2 linked regions of the Anolis sagrei genome follow. The protein of the gene in region 2 binds, or shares a complex with, the protein of the main gene of each other region. Links are inferred from orthologs where the notes say so. Each region holds a gene or a part of one and is shown on either strand. Other genes may lie near its edges.

Region 1 (7,823 bases), on a different chromosome or scaffold from region 2:
AGGCTTTCATGGCTAGAATCACTTGGTTGCCCTGAGTTTTCTGGGCTGTATGGCCATGTTCCAGAAGCCTTCTGTCCTGACGTTTTGCCTGCATCTATAGCAGGCATCTTCAGAGGCATCCTCACAACCTCTGAGGATGCCTGCCATAGATGTGGGTGAAACGTCAGGAGAGAATGCTTCTGAAACATGTCCATACAGCCCAGAAAAAACACAGCAACCCTATCATGAGGTTTTCCTGGTATGATTTGTCCAGAAGGGGAGGTTGCCTTTGCCTTCTTCTTAAACTCTGATCTCATGCTCTAACCGCTACACAATGCTCTCAAGCACAAATATACATCTTATTAATGAGATAACTCCTCAAACATTTGTGAGTCCATTTAATTCTTCAGATATTCAAATAAGGTTAAAGCAGTGATTCTCAATCTGTGGGTCCCCAGATGTTTTGGCCTACAACTCCCAGAAATCCCAGCCAGTTTCCCAGGATTTCTGGGACTTGAAGGCCAAAACATCTGGGGACCCACAGGTTGAGAACCAATAGGATAAAGGAATGCAAATGGACAGAAGAACAGTATCACAAAAGCTCTCGCTGACATGTTGAAAGTATCAGGAGAGATAGCTGTTTACCCAAAACCGCCTATAGAAATCAAGACAATTTAGAGAAGCAACAACACCGTCTCACTCTACATCCCAAAAGTGATATTCAGTTTTTAAAACCTTGAGATGGGAATATTTTTAATTAATCTAGGGCCCTTCCACACAGTCATATAACCCAGAAAATCAAGGTAGAACATCCCACAATATCTGCTTTGAACTGGGCTATCTGAGTCCACACTGCCATATATTCCAGTTCAAAGCAAACAATGAGGGATTTTATTCAGCAGTGTGGAAGGAAACCCAGTCTCATCTGTGAATATTTTTAAAGTAAACAGTGCATGCACAAAGGAAGGTATCATAGAGGATATTGTACACAGCACAAAATTATAGTCCAGCCATTAACTCATTGTCTATTTGAAAAACACTTGTAGTTGAATTGGCCAAACACTGAGATTTCAGTCTTAAAATTCTTCCAGTCTGTTATTACAGATTTCCAAATCCACCAAGAATGAGGAGGAAATGTAAGAAAAGATAGAGAAGGAGGAAAAAAAGGAAAGGGTGGCCTAAATGTCTAAAATAGAGCAAATCTGTTTGACATCTAAGATTTCTTAACAAAGCACACTTACCAGCAACCCAACCAGGAATAATGAAGTTCAGTCTTGCGCAAAGATGAATGATTGGGGAAGAGAAATCCAGTAAAAGTTCAATCCAGCAAGGCTGCTGAGAGGATCAGTTGAGGATGGGGCTGCCAGGTCCTGAACAAAAATATTGCCTGCTGTCAGAGGAATGTGAGAGCAACACTCCCGACCTTTTATGGCTGGGAAGGCTGTTAAATATAGCAGCAGCAAAGAGATAGAGGGAGAGAGGTCTGACTCTCTGTTCAAATATACGATGACAGGCAGCTTCAAGCTACAACTTTTGTCCTTCCAAGTCCCAACTAAACTGAGTCCTAAAGTTTTCTGTTAGCTCAGAAAAGATGTTAACACATGGTTGTGCCATAGAAATTCAATTCATTTAAGTGATGAAGGGAAATGTGCTACAACATAAACCCAATTTAGAAAGAAGCTGTCATTGCATTGACAGGAGCCAAAGTACAGTAGCTTGGCATTAACAGGGATTCCTGAGTGCTCTTGTGTTCATTTCAATCACAGGACGCTATTAACACAAGAAGTATTGATACATCCTCTGCAGATAGGAATTAATTTCAGCTTAACAATAGCAGACTCTAATGAATTGGCTGATTTCCACAATTAAATCTATGCTGTGGATTTAAATGAGCAAAAATGTTTTCCGTAATCTCTTGATCAGCTGCCACTTTAAAAAAATCTAGTTAAGATAATCTTCTCGTTTAGAAGTTTATAATAACTAAGATTTTTTTCAAAGTGGTAACGAGTCAGCAGATCATTGAAAGCATTAATCCAAATTAAAGACATGACTAAATTAAAGGAGCTCAGTAAGTTATGAGGAATGCAAAGGGAGGACGTTATCTGTGGAGCTTTCTGGTAAATTCACATCTCAATATCAAATTAAACTCCCCCACTTTACTGTTTCTTGGACCCCACCTCATCACACTAGAAAATGAATCCATTTAAAATCCAGTTGCTGCTTCCTGCAGAATTCTGGGGTTTGTAGTTTAGAGAGGAATCTTTAACAACCACAACTAAACTACAAACCCCAGAATTCTGCAGGAGGCAGAAACCCGATTTTAAATGGATTCATTCTCTTACATTTTTGATTAGACATGTCTTCTTTCTGTGCCACTTTCCAGAAAAAAAAGGGAGTGGTCAATTAACTTTCTGTCCACTATTGATTTCTTTAAACTGCATATCAACATAAATAAACCTCATGACCTGGGTTCCTTTCCTAAATATCTAGCTAAGAGACAGACTCATTCCTCTTGGCTCCACATCTAAAAGTTTGTCCCCTTATCTCAGTTATCCATTTAGATATAATTATCTGGTTTGGGGTTTTTTTTTTGTTTTGTTTCAAGAGTTGGAAAGTTAATTTCTATTGCTGCCCCCAAATAATGTTCCAATGAGAATAAAAGCAGTAGAAGACCGAATTATGCCTTTATGTAACAATTAAAGGCTACAGAATCTAAAACTTTGGCCCTGTCCAATGTTTGCCCTACAACTTTAACAATTTCAGGCAACGTGGGATTGGATTTGTAGATTTATAGTTCAAAAATCTGCAGGCTACATGTTCCCCAGCCTTTTCTAAAGTAGGGATAGCCAACTGGCCTGTCCGGTTCTTACTTCTGGATGTTCTTTGCCATGATCCCTCCACCCCATTTCCAGCTTTGGGGTGCAAAGCCTGGCACCACTTCTTACCTAGCAGGGTCTTTTGTCCTTGCCTAGGAGAGGTGGCCGGAAAGATCACTCTTGCACTCAATCTAGTACCGAGAGAGAGGTGGTAGCAGCTAGGAGAGTGGCATGAAAGTTATTACTTAATGGCATTCCTCCCACTGGGAAATGAGAGCTCGTCCTGGAGGCTCCTAGGATGATCTCTCATTTCCTAAAAAGAAGAGTTGCTTGTTGGCTGAAAGCAGCAGCAGGCATCTCTCTCACATGGGCAACGTCAGCAGCACTCTTAGGGCAAAAAAGGGGAACCAGTGCTGACTGGGCTAAAAAGTGGTTTCAAGAGGCATATACTACTTTTAAACCTGGCAGGATTAGGAAACAAGACGCTCCAGAAACCTCTGGGGTGAACTCTAATTTCTACCTGGCAAAGTGCCTGACAAGGTAAGAAGAAGAGAAACTCTCTTATCATCTTGCATGTACCACTCCCCGCCAACTCTTTCTAACTGAGAAGGTGCCATGACAAAGAAGTCAAAGGAGACAGTAAATTTCATGTCTGGAAGGGATCAAAACCTGACTTCTTGCTGTTTGTGATATGTATCTCTTTTGTGTCATCCGTGTTCCCTTTTTATTGCATTATTAAAAACAATTGTAGTAATTGTAAGAGTGAATATTGTAATTTAGACAAAAAAAAATCTTGGAGAGCAGATGACAAAAACCCAAAAGATGGAGTGACTATTTTGGCCATAAAACAAATTCCGGAATCTAAAGTACATATTGGTGGTATAATTATTACAAAGGACACAAAATCACTACGTTGTTTGAAGCCCACTGACCTCTTCACCAGATAAAAACAGCAAATATCATTCAGTAGAAAAAAACCTGTTGCTGGAATCACAAGTCTGCATTTTTTTTATTTGTGTTTTTACAGGAAGAGTTCTTTGCAAAAAAAAAAAAAAGCCTCACCTAGCTAAAAAAAGACTGGAACGTAACCAGAATGATGATGATGATGATGATGATGTTCGACTTGTGATTTTGTGATATGAAACCCAGCATATATATCTTGTTTGCTGTGACATGCTGTGTTTTTGTGTCAGTAAAATAATAATAACAACTTTATTTTTGTATCCCGCCACCATCTTCCCGAAGGGACTCGAAGCGGCTTACATAGGGAGCAAGCCCAGTCAACAGAGTTGAAACATAACACAATAAAATACATATACAAACATCATGAAAAAATATAATTAAAAACATAAATCATCACACGACCACCAATAGCCAAGCATAGTGGACATTTTCAAACTAAAGGGCAAGGCAGAGGCTTGTGCAATATAACTGCAGGGACAGGGCTGATGGCAAAGTGCAAGAGGCAGAAGATAAATTAAGACTGGAAGGGCCAAGTCTGATTAGGGACAGTAGTAAAGTGCAAGAGCCAAAATTAAGTTATGAATAGAAGGACCAATTCATTTAGTGAAACAATTAATAAAAGGTACATTGGAACAACCATGTTTTAAGGTATTTATGGAAAGTGGACAGTGTGAGCGCTAATCTACTCTCCCGGGGAGAGAGTTCCAGAGCTGGGACGCCACCACTGAGGCCCTCTTCCTTGTCCCCATTAACCGTGCTTGTGATGGAGGTGGGAGCGAAAGAAGGGCCTCCCCAGAAGATCTTAGAGCTTGCGTAGGCTCGTAGGGAAAGATGCAATGGCGAAGGTAGGCTGGACCCAAACTGTTTAGGGCTTTATAGGTAATGACCTGCACCTTGAATTGGGATCAGAAACTTACTGACAGCCAGTGGTGCTGTTTAACAGGGGGGTTGTCCGCATCTTATAACTTGCTCCACTTAGCAGCCTGGCCTCCGACCTTTGTACCAGTTGCAATTTCCAGGCCGTCTTCAAAGGCATGCCCATGTAGACTGCATTGTAAAAGAAAGAAATAACATTTCGGTTCTCCATTTGCAGCACAAAGCCTGTGATCTGAGCCTTCACAAATGCAATGTCACTGATTGCCTGGTGGCACAGTGGGTTAAACCCTTGTGCCGGCAGGACTGAAGACCAACATGTCGCAGGCTCGAATCCAGGGAGTGTGCATATGAGCTCCTTCTTCAGCTCTAGATCCACATGCGGGGACATGAGAGAAGCCTCTCACAAGGATGGTAAAACATCAAAACATCCAGGTGTCCCCAGGGCAACATCCTTGCAGACGGCTAATTCTTTCACTCCAAAAGCAACTCGCAGTTTCTCAAGTGGCTCCCGACATGAAAAAAACTGATTTAATTTCATTTGATTTGCATATCTGTAATGAACCAGGCCCGTAGCCAGGATTTTGTTTGGGGGGGGGGGGGGCTAAAAAATTTTCAGGGGGGGTTTCGTGGGGGGGCTGAGTTTTGGGGGGGGCTGAGTCTGAGTGAAAGAGGGTCTAGCCTAGCAAACCTTTTGTATCATTACCCCAATACCCCCATGCATATGGGATATATTGAGTATGGTGATCAGATCATGATATGAATAAACATAACAGTTTAAATAATGCACCAGTAAGGCCTTTTCGCGAACCACCATGAGAATTTCGGGGGGGGGGGGCTGAAGCCCCCCGAGCCCCCCCCCCCCCGGCTACATGCCTGTAATGAACTATGGTAATGTTTCCTGGACTATCCTGACCAACATGGTATGACTCCTCCTCAAGTGGCCGGTGATGAATATATGCATCGCTTCATGGAATTCATTCCAACATTTCCAGACACCTAGGGGAATTGCTACTTCAAATAGGGCACCATTAGCCAAATACCTGCATCTTGGGCACTGTCATTTGTGGTTTTCAATCAAACCTGTCTCTGATGAGAAACTCTCTAGACAGGAATACCTAGCTTGGAAGTATTGCCACTAGTTTCAGAAATTAGACATATCACAGTATATTCCTTGCAGTACAATCCTAAGTGTGTTTCAAGGATTTTCAGGTGAAATCAATAGCACTGAGCAAGCATGGATAAAGCAAAATGACAATTATCTTTTCTCCAGAAAAAACATATAATTGTTTACATATATTGTTTTGGATGAAAATAAAATACATACCTTTAAAATAAATCTTCCTGACAAAAGCCTTTCAAAAGTTGTTCTGTTCTTCACTCTTAAAAGTATATTACATTCAAATTTCTCGCTTGCCTTTGGTAGGGCAGGTTTTAATAAGAAGACAGATCTTTGGAAAGCCATGAAGTTTTAGCACTCAATTTCTTTTTCCTGGGAAAACATTTTAGTTCAGCATTTGTGCTTTAAGAAAAAGCTGTTGGATTGTTGAGGAGACATTTAATCTTCAAAAGAAGTAAGTCCTTTCTCTGGGGAGGGATTTACTTGATCCATTTTATTTCAGTGGTTTTATGGATGTACCACACTGATATTCTTGACAACTTGGAAAACCTCACTTTTAGTCTAAGGATGATATAGATGTGACTTGAAATTTTTGGTTTATTTAGTCCTTTTCTACTACTACTTCAACTATAGAAGTCAACCATAGTAGAGCACTTGATGAACCAACCTGGACACAGCGTATTATTTGAGAACATAGAAATGCTGGACCACTCTAACTACCACCATGTCAGGCTACACAGAGAAGCCATTGAAATCCACAAGCATGTGCACAATTTCAACAGAAAGGAAGAAACCATAAAAATGAACACAATCTGGTTACTAGTAGTAAAAAAGAGTCTATATAACAGTAAATAAAGAACAACACTCAGAAACAGGGGAATTCCAGACAAGAAACAATCATGGCCAACTAATCACTTCCCAACAAAGGATTCCCCCAGGCAGTAAGAAGCCAGGCCTTGAAAATTGTTAGCCTATTAAATGCTTATCAAGATGGCCAACTGCTACATTCATACCTGCCTCAAACAGACAAGAGTTCTTTCTCCCACCCTGGACATTCCACGGATATATAAACTCCACTTGCCTAGTTTCCAACAGATCTCACAACCACTGAGGATGCCTGCCATGGATGCAGGTGAAAAGTCAGGAGAGAATGCTTCTGGAATATGACCATACAGCCCGGAAAACACACAACAACCCTTTTCTAGCTGCCCCAAGCTTTCAAAGAAAAATACCAGTGAAACTGTAGATGAACATAGAAACTTTGTATTGTCATAGAGAAAAACCATGTTTTGAGTCAAGTGTTCCTTTGTACAAAAATAATTACATTTATCGTAATAAAATATTTCAAGCAATTAACATAGTCATAAATAATATCAAATTATTTGTGTGTATTATTTGTATCATGATCTTCTCCTAAAGTATTCAAGGGCAGGGTTGATATAACAATATAGTGAATCTGGATGCATCAACACTCTACAATAAATGCAGTTTGATATCACTTTAATTGCAATCACTCAATGCTACGTAATCAGGGAAGTAGTAGTTTTAGAAGGCCTTCTCTGCCCAGTAATACTGGTGCTTCATCAGCTCCCAGGATTCCATATCATTGACCCATGGGATTTGAAGTGATGTCAGACTGCATTAATTTTACAATATAGATCCACCCTCTATTTCAGGGGTCCTCAAACTTTTTAAACAGAGGGCCAGGCCACAGTCCCTCAAAGTGTTGGAGGGCCGGATTATAAAAAAAACAAAACATGAATGACTTCCTATGCACACTGCACATATCTTATTTGTAGTGTAAAAACTCTTAAAAATACTACAATAATTAAAATGAAGAACAATTTAAAAAATATAAATTTATTAGTATTTCAATGGGAAGTGTGGGCCAGATTTTGGCTGATGAGATAGGATTGTTGTTGTTGTTGTGTGCTTTCAAGTCGTTACAGACTTAGGTTGACCCTAAGTGAGGGCTGGGTAAATGACCTTGGAGGGCCGCATTCGGCCCCTGGGCCTTAGTTTGAGGACCGCTGCTCTATTTTCTATCCCTTAATGTAATTGCTAATCCCTGT
Region 2 (8,036 bases):
ATTCACTGAAGAATAAACCCAAAGTGTTAATTGCTGCTCAGTTTAGCAATGCAGGAAAATGGTTGGTGAATTGATTTGCAATGATCACACAGCTGTTCATCTCCTTTGCAGCAACTTTAAAGTATGTCTGAGAAAGACTGGGTTGAAAGGTGACCACTTCATAATGTCATCCAGAACTCTGAACAGTTTTTAATCTAGATGGCAACTTCCAGAATCCCCCAGCCAACATTTCCAATGATAAAGCTGGCTGAGAGATTACAGGAGTTATATTCCAAAGCCATAATTTTTCCTGTCTGTACATATGCTTCATCACGTGGCAAATTGGGTTGTGAGCATTCAACACACATTGCTTAGCCATCCACCCCCACACTGGGAGAGCAGGCTGTCTGTGACAAATCTGTCCACATGATGACCCCTCCAGATATCCCCAAACTTGTTGCATTCATGCTTGTTCTTTTGTGCATTGTGCTACACTTTGATGGCATGGGGAGGTTCAAAAATTGACAATCCGATATATGACAGGGAACTAGACCAGCTTCACCAGTTTTGTGGTGAAATGAATGATACCAACAAATGCTCTGCAGGTATGCAGAGCCCATGAGACACTTGCCCTGCCTGCATCACATCAGCTGCTCTGTGGTGTCATTGGGACAAGATCATGAGCAGAAATATGACTTTGGTGTTCAATTCTTTGTCCTATGATCTTGAGATATAGCAATAATGTGGGTGTGTGCATGCACATATCCATGTAATCCCACCCACCAGGAGCCATTATTTACTTAACATCTTTATTTATTCTTTCCATAACAGTAGTTGTATTGAATTGTATGGCATTATTACATAAGCAATTTACGACTGAACAATGTGTTTACAGTATAAGCCACTGACAGACAAATGGCAAGTTTGAGGCCCCAAACTTTGCAAGGGGACACTCTAGCAGCTGCAAAAAATCAAAAATGCAATAGACAGATAGACAAATAGACAGACAAAAGTGGCTGAAAGTCTACCTTTTCACTACTGTTTTTTGAAATGTTATTTTTAGGCTAAGCAGTACAGGTGAGTACTGTGATTGGTTTTAAAAAGAATTGCTACTCCTGGGATCTGGAAACTTCAAAGAAAAACAATTCCGAGTTTTATTTTTGTTTGCGGTTGGCTAGAAAAGTAGTAGTTGGGGGAAGTTGGGGGGATCAAGACTATAAAATTATCTTGGGGCATTACACTTTGTCCCCCTCTTGGCGTAAGCCTTCATCCACCTTATATTCTTCCAGATCCTGTACATCCCATGACTCTTTATATATGTATGTCATACCAAAGTGGAAAGGAGAACTGCAGAAACAGAACTAGATTCCCTAAGTTTTAAGGTAGCCATCAATGTTTAGGGACAAAGTTTAATGTTATTTTCCTAAGCCACAAATAATAGCATATCTCTCCTGTCCTTCTCTGAGCTAGGATGGCTGTATTATGGCTTGACGGCTGAACAGGCACCGGCACACAAAGATGCAAACAAACCAACAGTGATGCTGATTATTACTTTATCCAGCACATTTCAAGTGTTCAAAGCACTCCCAATATATCAACTGCAAAGTAGGTCACTGTAGTCATTATTATATGGTGGAGGGGTGTGCAGAGAGAGCTGAAGCTGAGAGAGAAAATGATTTCCTAAGGGCCATTTAGCGAGTGCATAGCAATAGTGAGATTTGAATTGGATACCAGCTTGTATTTCCTGCCTGAATGCCACACCAGTTCTCAGAGGACCCGAGTTTCTTATGGATCCCTCCACATGCCTGTCCTATCGTGCATTCCTGCCCTATCACACTCTGTTTAATGCTCCACAGATAAGAAGCTGTCACTACCACGCAGACCCCAATGCAGACTAGAAAGGGAGAACATTTTTAATAGGCCACACACAGGCAGCCGTTTCTTTTGTTTTCCAAGCTCCTATTTTCTGCGGGAAAACATTTACACATAAGGGACAGAATGGGTGGTGGTGGCCAAGAGACCCATGCAGTGACTTGATTCAATGGCGCAAACTTCACAAACACAGGGGTTGTTCCCAGAAAATCAAAGCTCTGGTCTGGAAGAATACAGTGAGACCAGTGTGGTTTGGTTCCAGGACCCCACAGGAACACCAAAATCCATGGATGTCCTATTGTATACAATGGTATACATTGATGTCCCTTATATAAAATGGCAAATCAAGGTTTGCTTTTGAGTTTTTTAATGGATGTTTGAATTTGTGAATACAGATTCTGAAAATATGGAAGACCAACTGTGGGTGCATCCACACTGTAGAATTATTGCAGTTTAATGCCACCTTAATGACCAGTCATAGTTTTACAAGCTCTTCAGCCTTCTCTGCCAATGAGTGCTGGTGCCTCACCAAACTGCAAATCCCATGATTCCACAGCATTGAGAAGAAGCCTTGATTCTACAGAATACACAAACCCTGTATTGTCACCCTTTTCAATCTGAGTTTCAACCCAGTCATTCTCTTAGTTCTGCTCTCTCCTTCGGCATCCAAAACCAATGCCCAAGTATTCCCCTTGATTTATCACTTGGTGACTAGATGGGTTGTTAATGCTAGAGCCATTGCCACTAGCGGGGGGGGGGGGGGGGAGGGGGGGACGACTTCCGCGAGTATCACATTTGTCTGTCTCCCTCTCCTCCTTTTATTTCCCCAGCAAAACTTACCCAGTGAGGGGCGTGGGAAGCAGGTGGTGAGGGAGATCAGGCTGGCCTGCCTTCCTCTTAGCGTTCAGTAACCACCTTCTGCATCAACCTTTGAACTTCTTGGTCAGTCAGTTCCTGCTTCCACTCTTCCTCTTCTCACCAGGCAATTTCCATCTGCCCATCCATCCATCCATCTGTGCACATGCCAGTTGCTCTTCTCTATAGCTCTAGCCCTTCCTGTACCATGTCCCAGACTGGGCATCCCTTCTTCCTGACAGATGCCCACACAGATATGCTTCCTGCCCCTCACATGCTGTGGGTCCCTGGCCTGCCTTTGCCCTGCTCACCAAGCGTCTGAGAGCAAGAAACTAAGAGAGTTACAAATGCCTGCAGCTGCTGTCCCCAAAAATACCCTCTGATGACATGGCTGGGCTGATAAGCGGGGAGGCTGGGGCTTGGCTAAGTATAGAGCCCAGCAGGGAGGAGCACAAAGGCATCCCTCACCCCTGGAGCCCAGGCAGGCACAGCCCAACTCAAGGAAGAAAGGGGTCAACGTGGCTTTAGAACCGCTAGGAATATCCCTTCAAAAAAAAAACAACCCAGGTTGCCTCAAATTTTGGACCATGTCACACTTATATTTTTTTCAGCATTATTCAGAAGTCCAAAGAGTGGGTGCTAGAGGTGGGGCTCAACAACTACCCTAGGATGCCAACTGGTGACTTCACACCTCTACAATGATTTAAACCAACAGTTTCCATAGGGTGCATCTATACTGTAGAATTAAAGCGATTTGACACCCCTTTAGCTACCATGGCTCAATGCTATGGAATCATGGGAGTTATAGTTTACAAGGTCTTTAGTCTTCAATACCAAAGAGTTCTAGTGTCCCACCAAACCCAAATCCCAGGAGATCGGTTGGTTTATATCGTTGGGCAGGCTTGGCATCACCAACACAACTGGCTTCCTAGGGCAGTTGTTGGGCCCCACCACTAGCACCCACTGTTCAGATCTGTATATAATCTTGAAAAAAATATTTTAATGGCAACAACAACAACTATTACTACTAGTAGTACTTTATTCTTATATCCCACCACCATCTCCCTGAAGGGACTTAGGGCAGCTTGCAGAACGGCACAAAGTGTCTAAAAACAAACATAAAAATGAAGCACAATATAAAATACAATAAAATAAAACACATACAACTCAGGTTCAATAAACTGAGGTCATTGACTTACATTGCCTGACTATCTATCTTGGATTCTCCACCCTGGGATATGTGAGCCTCCATTTTTACCTTTAGAAGGGCTGCTGGCAGGTAGCCCCTCCAAAGATAAAAATTGAGGCTCACAAAACCCATCAATCTAGTAGAGGTTCCCAGCACCTAGTACAGGGCCCCAAAGAAAGGAGCTTTATTGGAACAGGGTTTTCAGATTATAGCGAGCCTATTGTTACATAAAGTAGACTCTCCATTAATCAGCACCCATGCCAAATAAATTTTGTTTCTGGTTTCTGGTAGAACTAACCAATATTATACCCCATAGTATACTATATCATACACTCTGTGTTGGCTTGATATTGAAATACATTAATTAAAAGCAAAAAAAGACAAATGTAACACAGTTTTACTCTATTATAAAACAGCTTTATAACTGCGCTATTATTTCTTCTGGGTTTTTTTGTCGGTTGCTTGAAAGTTATGGTTGCTTGAGTTTGGGTTAACTGAGAGTCTACTGTACTTAGCAAACAGAAACTAGGCAGCAGTCCTAATGTTAGAAACAGAAAACATGACGTTTTAAAGGAGATGACTCTGTCAGCCAACTCGAAGAGGGAAAGGTCACAAGAAAACTTCATGTTCTCTCACTGCCACCACACCAGCAAGTACTGAACATTTACAAGTCATTTTCTCTCTGAGACGGGGGGGGGGGGGGGGGGGATGACTTACAAGCTCCATTTGTTTTCCATGTTGCAAAAATTATCACCAAAAATATATTGGTGCCATTAAAAGATTTTTCCAGGACTATTTGCAACTTTCTCCATTCCTCTGACATACCTTCCGAGATTGTTTTCAGTTCTTTCCTATGACACATTTACTGCCGTCAATCCTTCTGTTAACATTAGCTGAGAGGCAATGAATGGAATCTGAGACAGCATCTCAGATGGAAGTAAGAATGATCTAACCACAAGGAGTAAGTAGCAGGCCAGCTCATACACTCAGAAGAATTAATCCCCCTTGTATTCCTCACAAATGTATTATTTTAGGCAACAGAGGAGAGGTTACTTGTTTGCAGGCCCGTAGCCAGGATTTCGTTTCCGGGGGGGGGGGGGGGGGGCTGAATTTTTTTCGGGGGGGGGGTTCGGGGGGGCTGAGTTTTGGGGGGGGGCTGAGTCTGAGTGAAAGAGGGTCTAGCCTAGTAAACCTTTTGTATCGTTACCCCAATACCCCCTGCATATGGGATATATTGAGTATGGTGATCAGATCATGATATGAATAAACATAACAGTTTAAATAATGCACCAGTAAGGCCTTTTCACGAACCACCATGAGAATTTCGGGGGGGGGGGGCTGAAGCCCCCCGAGCCCCCCGAGCCCCCCCCCACCCCCCCCCCCCCCCGGCTACATGCCTGCTTGTTTGAAAGAATGGGAAATTATTCCCATACATCGGAATCATAGAATCATGGAGTTGGAAGAGACCACATGGATTATCCAGTCCAACCCCCTGCCATACAGGAAAAGCACAAAGTACCCCTGACAGAAAGTCATCCAGCCTCTGTTTACAAACCTCCAAGGAAGGAGCTTCCACCAGACTCTGAGGCAGAGAGTTCTACTGCTGAACCGCTCTTACAGTTAGAAAGTTCTTCCTAATGTTCAGGTGAAATCTGCTTTCCTGTAATTTGAATCCATTAGGAGGGAAAAACAGCTATTAAGCACACTGTTAAAATGACCTATTTTCTCCAACATTCGTTTTTGTTATTATTATTTTTTTCAATCAAGGACTTATGAGACAATCTGAACTTGCAAGGAAGTGCTACAAACAATGATGGTCTTTTCCTTGGGGAAGTTTTTAAACAGAGATGAATGGCCACATAGGCAGGATGGTAGATCTCCTTCTAATCTACGGTTTTGTTATTCTTTATATTCTATTCACCTCATATCATTGTACCCTTGATACTGCTGAAAAGATAAACTCCATCTGTAGATGTTTTGGTGAACATCAGCAGCAAGATTTTGTTTTGAATTTCTAAACAGAGTGGAAAGGTTGTGTGATACAAATCTATAATGACTCTTAGGTAGTTTACATATCGTTGTTGATCATAGAAACAGAGTTGGAAGAGGGCCATTCAGTCCAGTCCTCTACCATGCAGGAATACACAATGAAAGTACTCTTAGCAGATGGTCATTCAGTCTGTATTTTAAATCCTCCAGAGAAGGAGACTCCACTGTATTCCCAGGCAAGATTGCTAGACAGCTCTTACCATCAGGAAGTTCTTGGTGTTTAGGTGGAATCTCTTTTCCTGTAAGTTGAATCAATTGGTCTGTGTCCTAGCCTTTGGAGCGGTAGAAAACAAGATGGATCTTAGGTGGGATCAATGTTAGGGCAATTAGCTATGTTCCCCTGCATGGTAGAAATGGTTTCCTTACAATCCTTAGCATCTTTCTCCCTTATAGAAGAAGATGTGCACTCAATTTGGAAAAAGTGGTAGGAGACTAGGTTAAGCCTAACCCATACCCTAATAAATCCAGCCTACACAAACTTGTGTACCTTTTGGAACTATGCAGTTGATCTTGCTTGGATCAGTTTTAGAGTACACTGAAATCTAACCTCATCTGACAGGTGCCAAGCAGCGCTATGTTCTGAATTCTTAGATACAAGCCTGAAAAATTACCCTCTTAGGCATCTCCCCCTTTAATTCTTGGGCAGCCCTCCCAACGTCTGTGGTTGAAAGGCAAGCAGCACTACAATTTGCCAAGCATTTGGTAAACTGTGACCCCTTTGTTTGTGTTTGGATCCACTTCACCAATTACAACAGTAGAGAAAATGTGAAATGTGCACATAATTGATTAACAATCACAGACAGATGTTTCAGGCACAACTTGGAAGCCTTACTTTTTTTTTTGGACTATAATGCTCAATACCTCAGCACAGCCTAGGGAATCCTTCTACACTGCCATATAATCCAGATTATCTGCTTTAAACTTGATTGTATGAGTCTACACTGCCATATAATCCAGATCAAATGTGATAATCTGGATTTTATATGGCAGTGTAGAAGGGCCCAAAGTTACAGTCAAAAGACTAACTTGGAATTTATATTTCCTGCTGAGAAAAATACAGTTGCTGCGACTATTTAGTATACACCCCATTTGTTAAAGGTCTGTGCTAAGAAGTTGCCATTTCAAAGCTCATCTTAGCTGTTTGAACTCAGTAGGTAGCCATAAGAACATTTAACTTACCTAAAGCTATATTATTTGCAGAAAGATGGTGTTAATCTCAGAGTAGTTATTGTCACAGTTGCTGAAATAGTTTTTGAAACTCTCTGGGTAGTTGAAGTATGCTGTCTAAAAAACTAAGTACAAATACATCACATGAACTCATGTTATGCGTTTGATCATGATAGACACAAAACTAAACCAGCTATTGTATTTTTCCCTTGAAATAGTAGAGATTCATGTGCAGAAAAAGTTTAATATAGGAAGCTGCTCTGCGGGCATGTGTGCTTTAGACATCAGAACACTATTAATCACCAGTATCCCCTCTAAGAGCGCAAGAAGAGTTTTCCCCACTTATTTCTACAAAAAAAGTTAATCCTACAACAATTCCTAATGCTGAAGAGACTGGGATAAAGGATTTGCCTAAGCAGGTGTAACTATGTCTAAACACGTTTGAATGACCTTGAACAGATAGGTTGAGGGAGTCTGAGAGTAATAATCCACACTTTCTTGAGATCTAAAGAGCTCTGATTTGATTGAACAGTGGAAGGAGTAACTTTGAGGTATAGATCAGATTTTCTTTAGCACATTTTAGCACTTCTATTACATTTAATTAACAAAATGCACTGACTGACCATTCCTTTGTACAGTGACAATTTTATAGTATGCAAGAAATCTGGGCAGAAGGTTCTTCCATTTCCCTTATGATCTGGATCTAGACTGACAGTCATTGCTTGGGGTTGATGAGATTGATCAGGCTTCAGTTCTAAGTAACCTGATTACACTGATCTCCAGGCAGATATGGTGGGTGGAAGGGGGGAAGGAAAACGTTGCCCCTTCTGCCAGCACTGCCTAGCACTGCCACCCAACCACTGCTTGCCTCCCTCTCTCCCCTTGAGCACCCTGCCCTAGGCCCTGTCCCCTGGGCAGCACTGTC

The links. The genes of interacting proteins can lie anywhere in the genome.
Region 1: the proteins of OBSL1 (region 2) and MYOM1 are in contact, whole or in part, in a crystal structure (PDB 5FM5), measured with the Homo sapiens proteins. The link is inferred for Anolis sagrei from reciprocal best matches to the Homo sapiens genes OBSL1 and MYOM1. Residues at the interface, in NP_056126.1 of Homo sapiens: Pro243, Lys253, Phe255, Val257, Asn258, Gly260, Lys261, His262, Ala263, Lys264, Phe265, Arg266, Cys267, Tyr268, Val269, Met270, Gly271, Lys272, Pro273, Pro275, Trp279, Lys305, Tyr308, Tyr317, Cys319, Ala321, Arg322, Asn323, Ser324, Ala325; in NP_003794.3 of Homo sapiens: Arg616, Pro617, Ser618, Ala619, Pro620, Trp621, Thr622, Gly623, Gln624, Ile625, Ile626, Val627, Thr628, Glu629, Glu630, Glu631, Pro632.

What each region holds. Positions count from the first base shown.
Region 1 is NC_090024.1:62,172,450-62,180,272, forward strand, and holds the start of MYOM1 (myomesin-1), read right to left. Parts: upstream 3,026-7,823; 5' UTR 2,925-3,025; intron 1,350-2,924; 5' UTR 1,221-1,349; intron 1-1,220. UniProt on the Homo sapiens protein: Major component of the vertebrate myofibrillar M band. Binds myosin, titin, and light meromyosin. This binding is dose dependent.
Region 2 is NC_090021.1:231,437,968-231,446,003, forward strand, and holds the start of OBSL1 (obscurin-like protein 1), read right to left. Parts: upstream 3,087-8,036; 5' UTR 2,692-3,086; intron 1-2,691. UniProt on the Homo sapiens protein: Core component of the 3M complex, a complex required to regulate microtubule dynamics and genome integrity. It is unclear how the 3M complex regulates microtubules, it could act by controlling the level of a microtubule stabilizer.